3 linked regions of the Drosophila melanogaster genome follow. The protein of the gene in region 3 purifies or fractionates together with the protein of the main gene of each other region. This does not show direct contact. Each region holds a gene or a part of one and is shown on either strand. Other genes may lie near its edges.

Region 1 (6,678 bases), 5.5 Mb from region 3:
TGACTGCTCAAAGCTTAAATATGCGATTTAGCCTACCATCACTGAAGTTTCAAACTTTTTCAACTCTCAATTCTTATTAAAAACGCTTTAATGCCTGATAAAATAAATAGGTATTTTAGGATGATATTACTTAGCCGCTGTAAGGGTTAAAACGTTCCCGCTTGTTAGCTTGCACTCAGGACTTTTAATCCTCATGTGAGCCTAACATTTTTATCCGGTATGTGTCTTACCCATTTCGTAGCTGCTCACTCCATAGTTATACGTGAGTTCGATGACGAAATGCGAACTTTCGGGTCCATAACCCACCATTGTTTTGCTCCACCGATTGTCATAGGGCCTGTGAAGGATTAACACTACCAGTTAGTCCTGTCGCAACACTCCGAAATAGCACTCACCCGTTGCAAGCTGCGTCGCATCCCTCCTTGAACTCCTCATGCCGCAGCACCTGTTGCCGTGCGAACGAGCGGGATGGCGATAGAAGGGAGCAAAAACGATGAGAGAAAAATGAAATTTTAACACAGTCATTATATGACATTATCGGGCATCTGGGCTTTTTAATTAGCAGCCGCGCGTCGTTGACACGTTGTCCAGATAAAACTACAGCCAGACACAACAGCCTGCGATAAGGAAGTCTGCCGATTTCTGGCGATACGCCCGCCACACCCAGCTTACCGTCATTCCCAAGATTTGCCGAAAGAAGAAGGCGTTTTTCGCCCGATCTCCGATTTTGAACACATAGTGCAGGGCGCGTCCCGATATGGCCGACATCTTTGTGTTTATCAGCTGGCGTTTATTCAGCAAGTGCTTTCCGATCGAATTTCGGCCTTGTTTATGTACATTCCGTTTCAGTGTGGCCGTGCGCAGAACAGCAAATATTCCCAGCGACGGGAGCTTTTGGAAGTATCGATATTTTTTAGTTTAGACTAAATAATAATAAATTTAAATACACTGTAAGTTTTAAATTATAAAGTGCGCTTTTTGCTGATTGACATCTACGAGGAAAAAACTAATGACTATCGCACCTTCAAAAAACGAATATCGGAATTTACCTTTTGTGACACAAAATTTTACACTTGACAAATACACTTTAAAAAAAGAGTATATCCAAAATGTTGTCACAAAAGTCCTTCCATGAAAAGCAATTATCGTCAACAGTTTTATTAGGCACTTAAAATATGGAGTAAGCGAGCATATAAAACGTATAAAATACGAAGTAAGCGAACATATAAAACTATTTAATACATTGTAGTAGCAAGGATAAAATGTCGTGAAAGTAAGATATTTAAAAATTTTCGCTAATGCGTCCTAGCCACATTTGCATGATAGTTCATTGGATATACACTACGCGTCATCAGATTAGCGCCCCCTGCATGGCTCCGTTCATTTTTATTTTCTGGTTTTGCCATTGCACGAAAATTCATCAATGTTGTTGTTTTTTGTTCACTGACATTCCCTCTCTCCTTGAGGATAAAAAAAAGGTCCTAAGGTAAGGACAACAAAATTTGTTATGCTGTTGAATTGAAAAGTTTGCTTTAAGAGGAACCCTGTTATCCCTGCAGGAAATATACAATATCATAGCATTCTATTAATGCTCATAATCATAAAATTTCAGAAAACCCGCCAGATGTCGCAACCCTATAATAAACTTTATTCAAAAGAACGAAACTTATGGAAAAAAAAAATAATGGTGGCAATAACCTTGTCTTTACCGCGGCAGATCGCAGGTCCATACTTCGAATACCTCCCAATTCCCACGACTTCTCCGCCAAAATTCGAGAAAAAGTGTTGAAAACCAGATCAAATCTTTGATTCAAATGGTGATTAAGACAGCTAAACATAAAACACGAAAAACTGAAAATAAAACCACCTCTCAATAAGTTGCGAAAAAAAGCGGGTCTGAGTTTTGCTCGAGCTCATTTGACTTGGTCTAAGGAGTGGCGTCGTATTTTCGGACAAGAAGAAATTTAATCTGGAGAAACCAGACGGCTTTTTTCATTACTATTATGATTTGCGTACATTTTGGATCGCTGTCACAGTCGGGTTATAGGTAAATTGCAGTTTTAAACACCAAAAATGAACGCAAAAGATTATAATTCAAAACTGCATTTCCCTACTTTAGAAACGTTTTTGGAAATTTAGAATGACATTTTCAAATTGACAGTGTCTCAATCCACACTGCACGTTTGGCAAAAACATGGATTCCATACTACTACCACCATACTACTACTATATAATAGATAACGTGTGGGTATGGTTGGCTAGGAAGGTATACGAGGGTGGTAAACAATATGCCACTCAAAACGAATCGTTCACCGGAATAAAACTCGATTGGTCTGCGATTACTTTGGATTACCTACAAAAAAAATATATGATTCCCTTTCCAGACGAATGTGTGAAGTCCATAATTTCCTTTAAAAATATTCTAATTTAAATATTTAAGTGTTAATCATCCCAATTTCTTTCGAAATGAATCGAACCAACTTAAATTATCTTAGGGGGCGTTATCCTGATAACCCAATTTTAATTAACCCATTTATGGATTTTTTTTTTACTTAAATAAAAATCTATAAACAAGAAACTGCATCCTATATAAATTTTACATTTATAGAATTGTTCAACGTTTGAATGAAAAGCAATTTTCAAAACTCTAGCTTTAACAGTTTTCTAAATATCTCAAATCAAAGATTTTTGCTCAAGGGGCGCTAACCTGATGTATGTAACCGGACGTATATGGATAGGTTATAGTTGATCATAAGGCTTTCGAAGGGATAGGTTTGTAGTCATGGAAATGCCCTTCCAGTCGCGCCGAGTCTTGCGATTCTGCGTCCTGCTCTATTTTGTGCTGCCATTCCGGATCGAGTGCATCTTCCTGCTCTAGCTTGCACTGACTTGCCTCCAGCGGATCCGGTTCCGGATCGTAGGACTCTTGACCTTGTTGACACTCATTTGGCCGCTGGCTTGTCTGCATGGTCACCTCATTTCGGTGGCTTTCCCTGGAGAGATCTCTCTGCCGTAGCTTTTCCCCCTTGCGGAGCTGATCCTGTTGAGCTTCCCGAGCGCCCTGCTCCTGATCGCGGTCGTGCTCCTGCTCCTGCTCCTGACTCTCCCGACTGTGCTCCCTTCGTTTTCTGTGCGTCTTTCTCGCGCGGTGCCTTCGTAGGTGCAACTCAAGGGTTTGTCGCGAAACGCAAGGCTTCTGGCAGTGAATACAGGCAAAGGGCCATTCCTCGGCTGCCTCTCCCGAGCCCGTGGATTCCGTGTGCAGCCGCTCGTGCCGCACCTGCGAGGCATGCGTGCCAAACTTTTTCTCGCAATGACCGCACTGGAACCGCCGCTGACCCTCGTGGACCACCCGAACATGCCGGCTAATGGCGCTCTTGTGGCGAAAGAGCTGCGGACACTGCTCGCACTTGAAGCGCTCCCAGGTGGGATTGTGGGTGCGCAGGTGGGTCAGTAGCTCCGTTCGGGTCACCTTGGCCACTCCACAGTGCTCGCACACGTGCTCCTTGCGCTGGGCATGACGCTTTAAATGCTCGCCCAAGGCATTCTTTGTGCTGTACTGCCGGTTGCACAGCTCGCAGATTAGGTCGCGCAGCTCCTGCTGCAGTTGCTCCAGCTGTGGATGGGCGTTGCGCATGTGGGAGCGCAGCTGCTCATATCGAGTGAAGGACTTGTCGCAGCTGCGGCACAAGAAGGGTTTCGAGTAGCCCTGATGGACGCTGCGGATGTGGGCCTCCAAGTACGGTAGCTTGTACACCTGCTTGCCGCACTGATCGCAGGCCAAGCCAGCGCGTCGTTTACTACCAGTGCCTTGGCTAAGCTGTTGCTGGCTGTTCTCGTACTCATCTGGATACTCCTCATCCTCCCGGTCGTCAAGAATCTTCTTCTGATCCTCCTGCTTCTTCGACAGATCTACCTGCTGCCCATCCGCCTGCTTTTCATGCTCTTCCTCCAGTTCATGCTCATTTTCCTCATGGTTTTCCTTGAGTCCTTCGTCCGGCGGCTCCTCCTTCACCTAGGAAAGAACTAAGAAAGTATTAATCCAGGTTTAACAAGCCGAAAAGGACATATATATCCACCCTGTCGACCGCGATGTCCACTGGCTGCCATCCGATAAGCTTCTGGCTGGATTCCCTTGCCACTTGGCGCAGCTCGTCAAAGTAGACCACCGCGTTGTGGCACAGGTTGCAGATCTCAGTGGGAAATCCATGCGGCTGCTTCAATATGTCGATGTCCAGCAACTTTTGCAGAATCGCGATGAGTCGCGGATCGGGACAGTGGGTGTCGCGGTCGCGCAGATGACGCAGGCAAATCCTGCACAGGCGCGCGAGGTCCGTAAATGTGGTGAACATCGCCACGAATCGTGCGCGTTAAAGGCAACGTTCTACGTGGAAATCCAGTTCTTTTTTCCGCCTCTTAAATTTTCCTGCTGTGATGCACACGCACCGCCAGTGTTACCAGAGGGCGACACCTGTTGCGCTGCCGTTGATCGATCACTCTTATCGATATCGTTACCAATCCAGCTTATAGGCTTTAAAAAATTCTATAAGCTTGTATATCGAAAATATTAATACTACATTAATATTATTAGAAATCGCAATGCATTTTTAATCTTAGTCATAAATTAGGGTGGATATTAACATTTCCCAATGCGAAGAATGCATCTAGTAAGATGTTTCCGGTATTACAGTTTATTTCATCCTTTCAATATCTGGTCCCTCTCTATTTATAAATAAAACCCGCCTGAAAATTACACAATTTAAATGAACGGATCGAAAAGCAACTTTAGAGACCTTAAAACGGATTCTTAACGTGAATTAAACAACAAATCTAAAAATAATAATATAATAATATATATATATATATATATAATATATGAAAAACAAATAATTGTTTTCCAAATATGACCAAGTATTACGGCTGACAGTAATGCAATAATTTGTTACGAACTGCTTATCCTTCGTTATTGCAGTGCCTCTAGCTCAGGCTTACCACACAGCTCGCAATAGAAATATCGATAACTATCGACGTCTCACCACTCTGCACACCTAAGATCTCAAATAATCAAAGGAACAAAAAAAGGTAATCAAAAGCATTAATTGCAAATGAACATACATGCGCACCCACCCAACCTAGGATGCCCTGAGGATTTTACAGTCATCACCCAATATAAATAAATATAAATATAAATATACCAAAAATTACAAACAGTTGTCATCCTGAATTGCCCATTTTGGTCGTTAACCGCGGTTCATGTGGAAAATATCCTAGTCAGAGGCAAACGAGTAAGAATTTCAAAACAATATAAAAATATATATGATATTAATTTATTGGAATTGTAATTTATTCAAATAAAATTAAAAGTGTGGAAGCGGAGACAATTCAGGTCTTATTCGTAGAGTGAAAGAATTAAATTTAATTGTAAGTTGCAAAGCGAATGCTTAGCAAACCCTTGACTGAAATTTACTTCTTTATGTGTTAAGCTAAAGAGGGCTCCTCTTATGTATTTCTATGAATTGAGTGGATCGTGCATGGATGCTGGGATAAGCCAAGGATTTGAGCTTCGTAAGCGGTTTTGACCCTTTGGTGGGAGTCGTGAATGCGGCTGCGGATGTTTATGTCTGGTGGATTGGGTGCCCTCTTGAGTGGATCGCGCATGGGTACTGATCAGCCGAGAACTTCAGCTGCGTTAGCGGTTTTGACCCTTTGGTGGGAATAGCGAATTCGGCAGCGGATGTTAATGTTTACATTAGGGCAGGCTGGATTTTTTATTGTCACCAGAATTGGGGTTCTTATGGGATACTTGAATTTATGACTTATATCCTAAGGCATTCTATGATTTGGTTTATGCAAAGACACTAGAATAACAAGATGCGTAACGCCATACGATTTTTTGGCACACGATTTTTTGGCCGTGGCTCTAGAGGTGGCTCCAGGCTCTCTCGAATTTTTGTTAGAGAGCGAGAGAGCGGAGAGCGCTACAGCGAATAGCAGACAACTGTATGTGTGCACACGTATGTTCATGCATTGTAAATTTGACAAAATATGCCCTTCACCTCAGAAGTTCTTAGACTTTAAATCTATATTATTTTTGATCAATTGGCACCATGCGAAAAAATCTTGTTTTGCATTGCAAATCCTGATCGTCCTCGCGAAGCAATGCTTCACGGCCATACCGCGGGGGGTCCTGGATTTGCCCTCCTTACTTTTACATTGTTAATCTGTTAATCTTAATCTTAAATGTTCAATAGACGAATTAAAAAAAAAAAAACCTAATCCTGTGTAATCAGAGCACTGGGGACGCGCGCGAGTAGCCGGGCGAATCGAGTTAACGCTCCTGGAAAACCCGAAAATTTTCCGTGTCGCGGCAGCTAAATAGAGACAGGAGTGACTGTCTCTAACACACAGTAATAGTGTAAAAATCACGGAGCAGACCAATAGCCAACCCCTCCGCTTATGAGTCCCCCGTCGGAACTTCACCCTTCACACCCAACCCTTAAGTCCATGACGCTGCGCTTGCTCTCTTGACCAGCCGGGCAGCAGCATAATAAAAACCCATTTTGCGTCTGAGCCAAGGTGGCCGGCGGAATGGTTTGTGTCTGAGCCTCATCGGCCAGCACCGTAACCATCACCTGGCGAATGGTATAGGGCCGCACACCTTGCAGTCCAAGGTTCTAA
Region 2 (4,337 bases), on a different chromosome or scaffold from region 3:
TTCATCTAGCACGGGTAGAAAGCCGCTCAATGTCGGCCTCACCATGGAGTGGACCAAAAAGAAATTTTTCAGTGCAGCCTCTGGTATTCCTCAGCGTCGCCAAAATCAGATAAAGCAGCCATACGCCAACATAGTCAGTCCCATACGCACCTACACCCAGAAGTCTGGTACTGCTCCGCTAATGAGTACATTCCGTCCAACGAGTTCTGATATGCTATCTACACTGGCCATCAGTGAGTTGGAGCAGGAGTCTCGCTTGTGTCATCCTAAAGCACTTTTCGCAACAAAGGACGAAACACCCAAGTCCAGTGAAGCGGAATCTTTAATTATCAATGGAATCGATTCAGCCGCTGATCTGCTTCCCAAAAAGGCTTACATATCTTCCGAAATCAAGCATGTAAGTTTAAATTTATATATAAGCCATGATGAGTGAACGTAAACTAATACCTTCCATTGAACAGGTGGTTGATGAACGAACTCCTTTGCCCATGCCGAAGGTACCTCAAATTCAAAAATACCTCAACTCCGCCGTGGAGCCTACTGTTATGCGCCACGATGGCAAAATGAAAATGCCCGGCGAGGCAGTCCGCAATCCGTCGTCTTCGCATATCCCACGACGCGCCAATCACAGCCTGGCTGATCTGTCGCTCGCCTCAGGCGACGTGTCCTTATACACAATAAGAGATGCCCAAAAGTTTTAAGGCCCATAAAAGTACTTCACGCTCCTTGACTAAATATTGCAACGATAATAAATGTATTGTGTAACTAGTGCTAGTAAATGCCTTCGTTTTCGTTTGATAGTATCAATGCTTGCATCATCACTTAACTCGCGCCTGCGGTCCCTTCCACGCTCGATTAACCTTGGACTCTGAGGTTCTGCCCAGTTCGGTGCAGATGTACCGCCCCACTTGGATCAGTTTGTCTAGGTTGACGCCAGTATCGAGGCCCATGCCGTGCAGTAAGTAGACCACATCCTCGGTGGCTGCGTTGCCTGACGCCCCCTTGGCGTAAGGACATCCGCCCAAGCCAGAAACGGAAGAGTCCACCACCCGAATGCCATAGTCCAGTGAGACCAGTATGTTGCTCAGAGCCTGACCATAAGTGTCGTGGCAGTGCACGGCCAGATCTTTAGCCGGGACGACCTTGGTCACCTCATCCAGCATTCGGCGCATTGTGCCTGGAGTGCCCACACCAATGGTGTCGCCCAATGAGATCTCATAGCAGCCCATTTGGTACAGGGCTTCCACCACTTTGACGACAGCACTCGGCGCAACAGCACCCTCGTACGGGCAGCCAACCACGGTGGAAACGTAGCCCCGGACGCGCACACCATGCTTTTGGGCTGCTTTCAGCACAGGTTTAAATCGTTCGATGGCCTCAGCTGCCGTGCAATTAACGTTCTTCAGCGAAAACGCATCAGATGCGGCTCCAAAGACTGCCACCTCCTCGGCTCCCGCCTCCAGAGCACTCTCGAATCCCTTCAGATTAGGCGTGAGGACTGGATAGCTTATACCAGTCACTTTGCGGATTCCTTTCAGCACTTCGGCATTGTCGCCCATCTGTGGCACCCATTTGGCGCTCACAAAGCTGGTGGCTTCTATGGTTCGCAGTCCTGTTTCGGACAATTGGTTGATCAGCTCGATCTTGGTGGCTGCCGGCAGGAGTTTGGGCTCGTTTTGAAGACCATCCCGCGGTCCAACCTCCACAATTCGCACCTGATTGGCCGCGCTTGTAACCGCCGTGCGCTGTTAGTTTTAAAATTATTAAAATATTGTCAAGTGCGTTCGATTTTCCGTGAAATTACCTTTGCTGTAAGTGCAAGGATAGAGCGAATTGGTGCACTTATCATTGCTAAATTTGTAAATAAACGTTACGTATTCCGCTTCTTCTTTTTTCGCTGATAACAGCTGATAATGATCCAAGATCGATATGTTGCTAAATTTCGATAACTGTTTTGCTTAATGAGCTGCCATCTCTAGCGCAGAGGCGTAAACACATTTTTTGTATACAAACGGGTATTTGGTGCTAATTCTTTGTAATGGAAATAGCAGAGATATCTGCAGAAGATGAGGATGTGTTTCACTTTGAGACCGAGCACCTGGCCCTGCGTGGCAACCAGTGCTATACCAATTTGCTGCGCACTTTGGCCGTGCTGCAGGCACAAAGGATTCGGGTGCATCAGCAGATTGAGGAATTGGAAGCCACACAAAATATCTACTTGGAGAATCCGCAACATATGCTGGACAAACTGCGAAACAACGAGCCTTTGATAGCGGATAATTACATCACCACGACCGTTCTACCGGACTTGCCAACTCTGTCGCCCAATGACGAGGAAGGGGGCACAAATGAGACACCGACCGATGCGTCTTCATGGACGCAAGAGGCGAACAAGAATCGGGACAGGAGCAATGGACGGTCGGAGAATTTCAATCGCTTGTGGACCAACGAAGAGCAGAGTCGCTTGGAGCAGCTGCTCATCCAGTATCCGCCAGAGGAAGTGGAAATGCGCAGATTCGGGAAGATAGCGAAGGCCTTGGGCAACAGAACGGCACAGCAAGTGTATAGTCGTGTCCAGAAGTATTTCCAAAAGCTGCACGATGCCGGAATGCCTGTGCCCGGTCGCATACCCAAGCATCGACGTCCTGGTTTGAGTAAGCCGAAGATCAAACTTCGCAAGTCAACCTTCTTCCCCGCTCATAATATATCGCTACAAATGCCAGAGGACGATTTCACATTTGACGACCTGCGAATCCCATCGCCTGCGAGCGATATGCTCCTTATGCCGGCATCCAAGATCGAACCAAAGATCGAATCCGAGTACATGGATGCCGATCTGAATGCGGAGTCAAAGCGAAAACAGGAACTATGCCTTAAGCTTCTATCAGCCATTCAGGACGAGAAACGGGAAATGGAGGACGGATATGAGCCAGACTTGCTGGCCGCCAAGTGTGCCGAGTGCGAAGAGGCATCTGTGACCAGGACCCAATGGCGTTGTAACAGTTGTTATTGTTACCTTAATCTGTGCGGAGATTGCCTGGCCAGTCAGCTAATCGAAGGGCGTTTCGAGCATTTAAGTCATGAAGTTGTAGTGGACCAAGAGTCATGACGCTCCTAGAGTCCCATTTACTTGAGTACTAAATTACTAGACTTGCCTGTAAAGCTACAAATTAAATATAAAGAGAATAATTTTAAAAAATTCTATTTTATTTATAAAAACTTAATATTAAATGGTATAAAAGAGAGGCCCTCTTAATTGCGCAATTGGGCAGATGATTTCGGCAGAGATTGAATACGCTGGCGACGCTTTGCTTCGAACTCCGTAGCCAGCTGCCATGTTTCTTTGTCCAACGTATCCTTCCCCCGGGCGATGCCCAGCAGCCGTGAGAGGACCAGCAATCCATGCAGATCATCGGCATTACTTTTGACATTAGCTTTACGCATGTCCACGAAATCCTGCTGGATCATTTCAGTGTGCTCCTCGCTCACGTTGAAGCCGCTAGTGCGCGCTGTGGTCAAGTACTTGCGAAACTGCTGCAGACGTGATGGCTGCAGATAGTGGTGGGCTGCCTTTAGAGATTCATCAACAAGTTCCACGGCCTTAGAATCGGCATTAATGGGCAGCACAAAATCGCTCTGAAAACATATCATTAATAGTTTCTATTGGATATAATGATTATTTATATAAACTTATATTCTTACCGGCAACATACTTCGCCCTTCACTGAGCACGAGAACTGGAATATTTGCTTGGTAGTCTATTTGGTAATACTGAAAGTCGCACTTCAGTTCCTGATTATTGATCAAGTGCGCTAAATGCTGAACGGCATGAACACCATTGGCCTCCAGCTTGCCCTGTTGCATGCACGTCTCGTCGAGCACCAAATGCGTATGGGGAGCCAACTGTAGTACGCCGGAAACCAGCTTGTTTGTCTCATAATCCTTCCTGCAAGTACTCATTAATAGGTATTCAATTTTATACTATTTCTGCTTAGCCAACTTACTTTGGGGCAAAGGCTGCCGTGTTTAGTGTGACGAGAGTCATGGGCATGTAATGGCTGGCCGGCAGTAGCAGCTCCAGAATTTGATACAACTTGGTTGCATACGCCTCACAATTCTTAGGGAGATTACAAAGGTTAAGGGCGAACTTGCCGATGCTCTGCATCTCAGAACGACTGTAGACCGTAGATATTAGGTGGGAGAGCAAATACTCGGCAGCCAGATCGTCATCAAAGAGGCAGAGTTTAAGAAGCATGCGCAGATCTTTGTGCACAGCAAGGTGGGTTGGATACGTCTCCTCACATATTTCCGTTGGCTGTCGAAGGCTTTTGTCCAGC
Region 3 (4,433 bases):
TGATCAGATCGACTCGGCTATTGTTCCTGATCAAGAATATATATACTTTATATGGTCGGAAACGCTTTCTTCTGCCAGTTACATACTTTTTAACAAATCTACTATACCCTTTCACGAGTAACGGGTATAAAACTGAATATATTTGATAATATTATACTGAAGCTACCAATTTCCGATGCTGTAAATTGCATAATTTATTATGAAATAAAAACACTAATACTTATTATGTCAGCGGAACATAATAAGAATATTTGAGTCTAGAGGTTTTATCTCCAAGGGCATGACAACGCCATGGCAACCCTTTTTGCTTGTGTCAAGAACTCAAAAAAGAAGGCGATGACTTTGCAGTCTACAAGTCACATTTATAATTTGGCGTGAGGACCTCAGTTGATTCACATATCCGAGCGGATAATACTTAACTATTTGCAAAGCACAGCATTTTTAAGATGACCATTTCAAGAAAATGCTTTACGCATACAAGTTGATAGGTTTTCTAAACGAAACAATGAAGTCCTACGATTCTTCATAGAGCTCACCGATTTCATTATTCCGTTCACCGCTCCCGATAGATTCTTCGTTATTTGTAGAGATTTCCAGCGCAAGTCGCCAACAGCTGGCCCATTGACCAAGGCACCCATGCCGGAAGCTTTTTCCGGCAAAAAACCAAAAACAATGAGGAAGCAGCCATGCTGAAGGACCCCATGGCTTGCGGGGATTCAGAGCCGAAGCTTAGCAATGGTAAATCAGTCTGGATCTCCTCTGAAGATAGTAGCGATCCGGATAATGACAAGGTGCCATTGGTGCCATATGAGTCTGATGTGGATCGTCTGCGGCAAAGACTCGCTAGAATGTTTCGGCGATGATTTCGATGGCAATCGTGCTATATATTCATTTGTTTCTACATTTGTACCAATTTTCTAAATAAATCGCAAACTATATACATACGTGCATACTGCACTTCTAATATATTTTCTCTAAATTTTTTCGGGACTATTTTTAAAACATGTTTATTCGTTGTACCTTAAATTTTCATCAAATGGTTGTCTTACAAGAACGTGATATCTTACGCTGCGTTATTAGTCGACAAGAAGGAAGTTGCGCATAATTAATGATCTGCCTGTTCATCGTCCTCCTCCGAGGAAGTTTCTTTCTCGATCGCGTCAGACATGCGCTCTTGCAACTTCTGCTGTAGGTTGGAGTCCTTGACCAGGTGCGCTGGATGGATGTAGGACCTGTTGGGACAGCCGAGCACTGGGCATCGAATACCAATGTTGTCCGTGATGATCAGCATCACCGAGTCGCGGTCGTAGATGTGGCCGCACTTTTTGTTGCGCACGGGGTTCTTTATCAAGGCTTTGGACCAGGGATCGTAGAGCGAGAAGACCTCGCCGCCGGTGGCTTCCATGATAAGGTCCTCGTCATGGGCGGCGCTATTCGCTTGACCATTTGTTTCCGCACCCGCCTGGGGAGCTGCCGCTTTCATGAAGTTTTTGAACTCGGCTGAGTTCTTGACATCGATGCGCTTCTGCTCCACCGCTTCGGAGCGCTCCTTCCAGACTTCCTCGAACTTCTCGATGGTGTTGCTAGAGTTTTTGGCATGCTTCATAGCCTTGCTGAGCAATTGGTGCTTGCTCTTCATTCGGATGAGATTCTCGGCGAGATCCACGTTCTGGTCCAACAACTTCTGGATCTCCCTGCCATCACTGAAATCGGACACGACTGTGGGTAGGTTTTAAAGATGTCTCAGTGTGTCGCATGGCTTACCTTCTGCCATTTCTTTGAAGAACTTTTGGTTTTCCAATAAAGTGGTAAGTGCCGAATCCACATGGTAATTGAAGTCCATTTTAAAGCCCAGATTCTATGCAGACGCTTTGCAAATTGCAAATCCAGAATATTTGGATCCAAATGTTCAAGACTGACGCTTAGCTAGGTTCAGCTAGGACCGATAAGTTCGATAGGCAGCCTAACGAGGGTGTAATCGGTATTTGGCGAACTGTTAATAATCGTGGTGTATAAGCATGGATTTTATGCCTGAAATTTAAGTAAAATAAATGTGCGTCAAATTAGCGACTCTAAAATAAAATGTAAAATGAGTTAACTTAGAGTGACCATATCCCCAACATACGGTCTTATCCACCCGCGAGCTATCGCGGTTATCGGTGTTATCGGCCAATGTCAACCTGGATAACGAGCGGCGGCCAACTTTTCAGTGTGCCAAACGCCGAGCAGACGGACGAGCAGCGCCAGCGCGACCGCCACTGCCACCAGTTGCTGCGGACCAATCCAAGTCACAACCAATCCGCTCCGATCCGATCCCAGCCAACGAGTGCCAGCTGTGCGCCCCAGCTGCAGCTACACGTGTCCCCAGGGTGAAAGCGCTATCCAAGATGCGGACGCACGGACTACGGTTGGTGCTCTTGGCCCTGCTGCCCACGATGGCCCTGGGCCTGCTAGAGGGCCTGTACTGTGGCAAGGAAAACTGTTACGACGTGCTGGGCGTCACCAGAGAGTCGTCCAAGTCGGAGATCGGCAAAGCATACCGCCAGCTGGCGAGGCGCTATCATCCAGATCTGCATCGGGGTGCCGAGGCCAAGGCGGCGGCGGAGACGCAGTTTAAGCTGGTGGCCACCGCCTACGAGATCCTGCGCGATGAGGAGTCGCGCACGGACTACGATTACATGCTGGACAACCCGGATGCATACTATGCGCATTACTATCGCTACTACCGGCGACGCGTGGCGCCCAAGGTGGATGTGCGCGTGGTTATCGTGGTCGTCCTAACCATTGTGTCCGTCATCCAGTACTATTCCGGCTGGCAGCGCTACGATTCTGCCATCAAGTACTTTGCCACGGTGCCCAAGTATAGGAACCAGGCCCTGGAAATAGCTCGCGACGAGATCCAGGAAAAGATCCAGAAGAAGGGCAAGAATCGTATGTCCAAGAACGATCAGCGCGATGAGCTGGAACGGATCATCCGGCGGGTGATCGAGGAGAAGATGGACGTTAAGGGCGGCTATGCGAAGCCGACACTCTGGGATGTGCTGTGGGTGCAGCTGATCATCTGCCCCTACACGATACTCTCGTTCATCGTGTGGCACGCTCAGTGGTTCTGGCGCTACACGGTAATGAAGCAGCCGTATGGCCGCGAGCAGAAGCTCTACCTCATCCGCCGGCACCTGGGCATGGGCCAGCATCAGTTCGAGGCGCAGGAGGACAAGCTGATCGAGGAGTACCTGCATCTGAAGCTGTGGAAGCGCGAGAACTTCGTCGCCTGGAAGGCAGAACAGGAAGAGGAGATGAAAAAGAAGCTGGCGGAGAATCCACGATACAAGGCGTACAGGCGATACATGAAGAACCACGGACCCGGCCGCATCACCTTTGAGGATTAGCCGCTGCTCTGCGATGTTCAAGTTTCATTGTTCCATCTAAAAGTCTGTTGTGTGCGTGTTGTAAAACCGATCCCAAATTCCTCGCCCTCGGCATCCCCATACCGTCTAAATTTTGATACATTTATATATATATATTTAGAAATTTTTTGTACACCAACTATATCAATATGAATTATGTTAATGTCCCGGTGTTGTCCGCCAAAGGGCGAAACGTTGACCCCGCCGGAGCGATCCGCCAAAACCGGTTCAAGAACGTGGCCACGTTCGGTACGCGTCGGCACAGTGTCCACTGGCTGCCGTGAACGAACCATCCTAGAACAATTATACCCCTACCTGGCTGGTCACAAAAAAAGCACGCCACATTCGCGTGTTTCCTAACTAACTTGACTAAACCGATTACTGTAATAAACTAGATAAAATTCAAACGTCTCTCTTACTGGTTGTTCACTGTGCCTGGTTTGCACAGTTGTTCTGGATGGCCAAAAATTCGATCTCGTGGCATTTATTCGCTCTAAACAGCATCTCTCCGTGCTTTTGTTTACACAGTTTGCTTAGAAACAATTTCGTTTTTTATTGTTTCTTGGTTTGGTGCGGTTGCTGAAAGTTAAACTTAAGTACGTGCTTGAAAATAAGCTGAAGAGTAAAGAAGTCTAGATTTTTCAATGGTAGCCTTCAAATAAAGTTGATTTGTTTTGCGAAATGCTGACTTTAGTTTCGGATACATGCGTGTGGCTCTTGCATTTCGCTATTCGCAGTTCACGTATACCAATTTTTATTTAAACATGTCTTCAAAGTCCTCAATTTGTTTAAAGTAATATAACAGCATAAGGTAGTGAAATAATAAGCATTTATTACCTTATCATTTCTTCTAAAGAATCAAAGTCCTCAAGTTGTTTAATGTAATATAATAGCATAAAATAATAAACATTTACAATCGTATAATTTCTTCTAAAGAATCAAAGTCCTCAATTTGTTTAAAGTAATATAACAGCATAAGGTAGTGAAATAATAAGCATTTATTACCTTATCATTTCTTCTAAAGAA

The links. The genes of interacting proteins can lie anywhere in the genome.
Region 1: the proteins of cerv (region 3) and CG1529 purify together in Drosophila melanogaster (affinity purification with mass spectrometry, with the first as the bait; one large-scale study listed by BioGRID). This does not show direct contact.
Region 2: the proteins of cerv (region 3) and Atac1 purify together in Drosophila melanogaster (affinity purification with mass spectrometry, with the first as the bait; one large-scale study listed by BioGRID). This does not show direct contact.

Annotation. Positions count from the first base shown.
Region 1 is NC_004354.4:21,027,508-21,034,185, forward strand, and holds CG1529 (uncharacterized protein), read right to left. Parts: upstream 4,444-6,678; 5' UTR 4,353-4,443; coding exon 4,080-4,352; intron 4,027-4,079; exon of another isoform or gene 4,016-4,026; coding exon 2,750-4,015; 3' UTR 1,145-2,749; downstream 1-1,144. Other genes in the region: CG1532 (uncharacterized protein), read right to left, coding at 231-337, 396-445, 673-768.
Region 2 is NT_033779.5:6,957,955-6,962,291, reverse strand, and holds Atac1 (Ada2a-containing complex component 1), read left to right. Parts: upstream 1-1,963; 5' UTR 1,964-2,038; coding exon 2,039-3,109; 3' UTR 3,110-3,193; downstream 3,194-4,337. Other genes in the region: sip2 (septin interacting protein 2), read left to right, coding at 1-397, 462-701; Hmgcl (3-Hydroxymethyl-3-methylglutaryl-CoA lyase), read right to left, coding at 819-1,745, 1,805-1,849; CG3430 (uncharacterized protein), read right to left, coding at 3,253-3,636, 3,703-3,946, 4,005-4,337.
Region 3 is NC_004354.4:15,576,047-15,580,479, forward strand, and holds cerv (cervantes), read right to left. Parts: upstream 2,126-4,433; 5' UTR 1,844-2,125; coding exon 1,765-1,843; intron 1,720-1,764; coding exon 1,106-1,719; 3' UTR 940-1,105; downstream 1-939. Other genes in the region: CG7872 (uncharacterized protein), read left to right, coding at 2,388-3,389.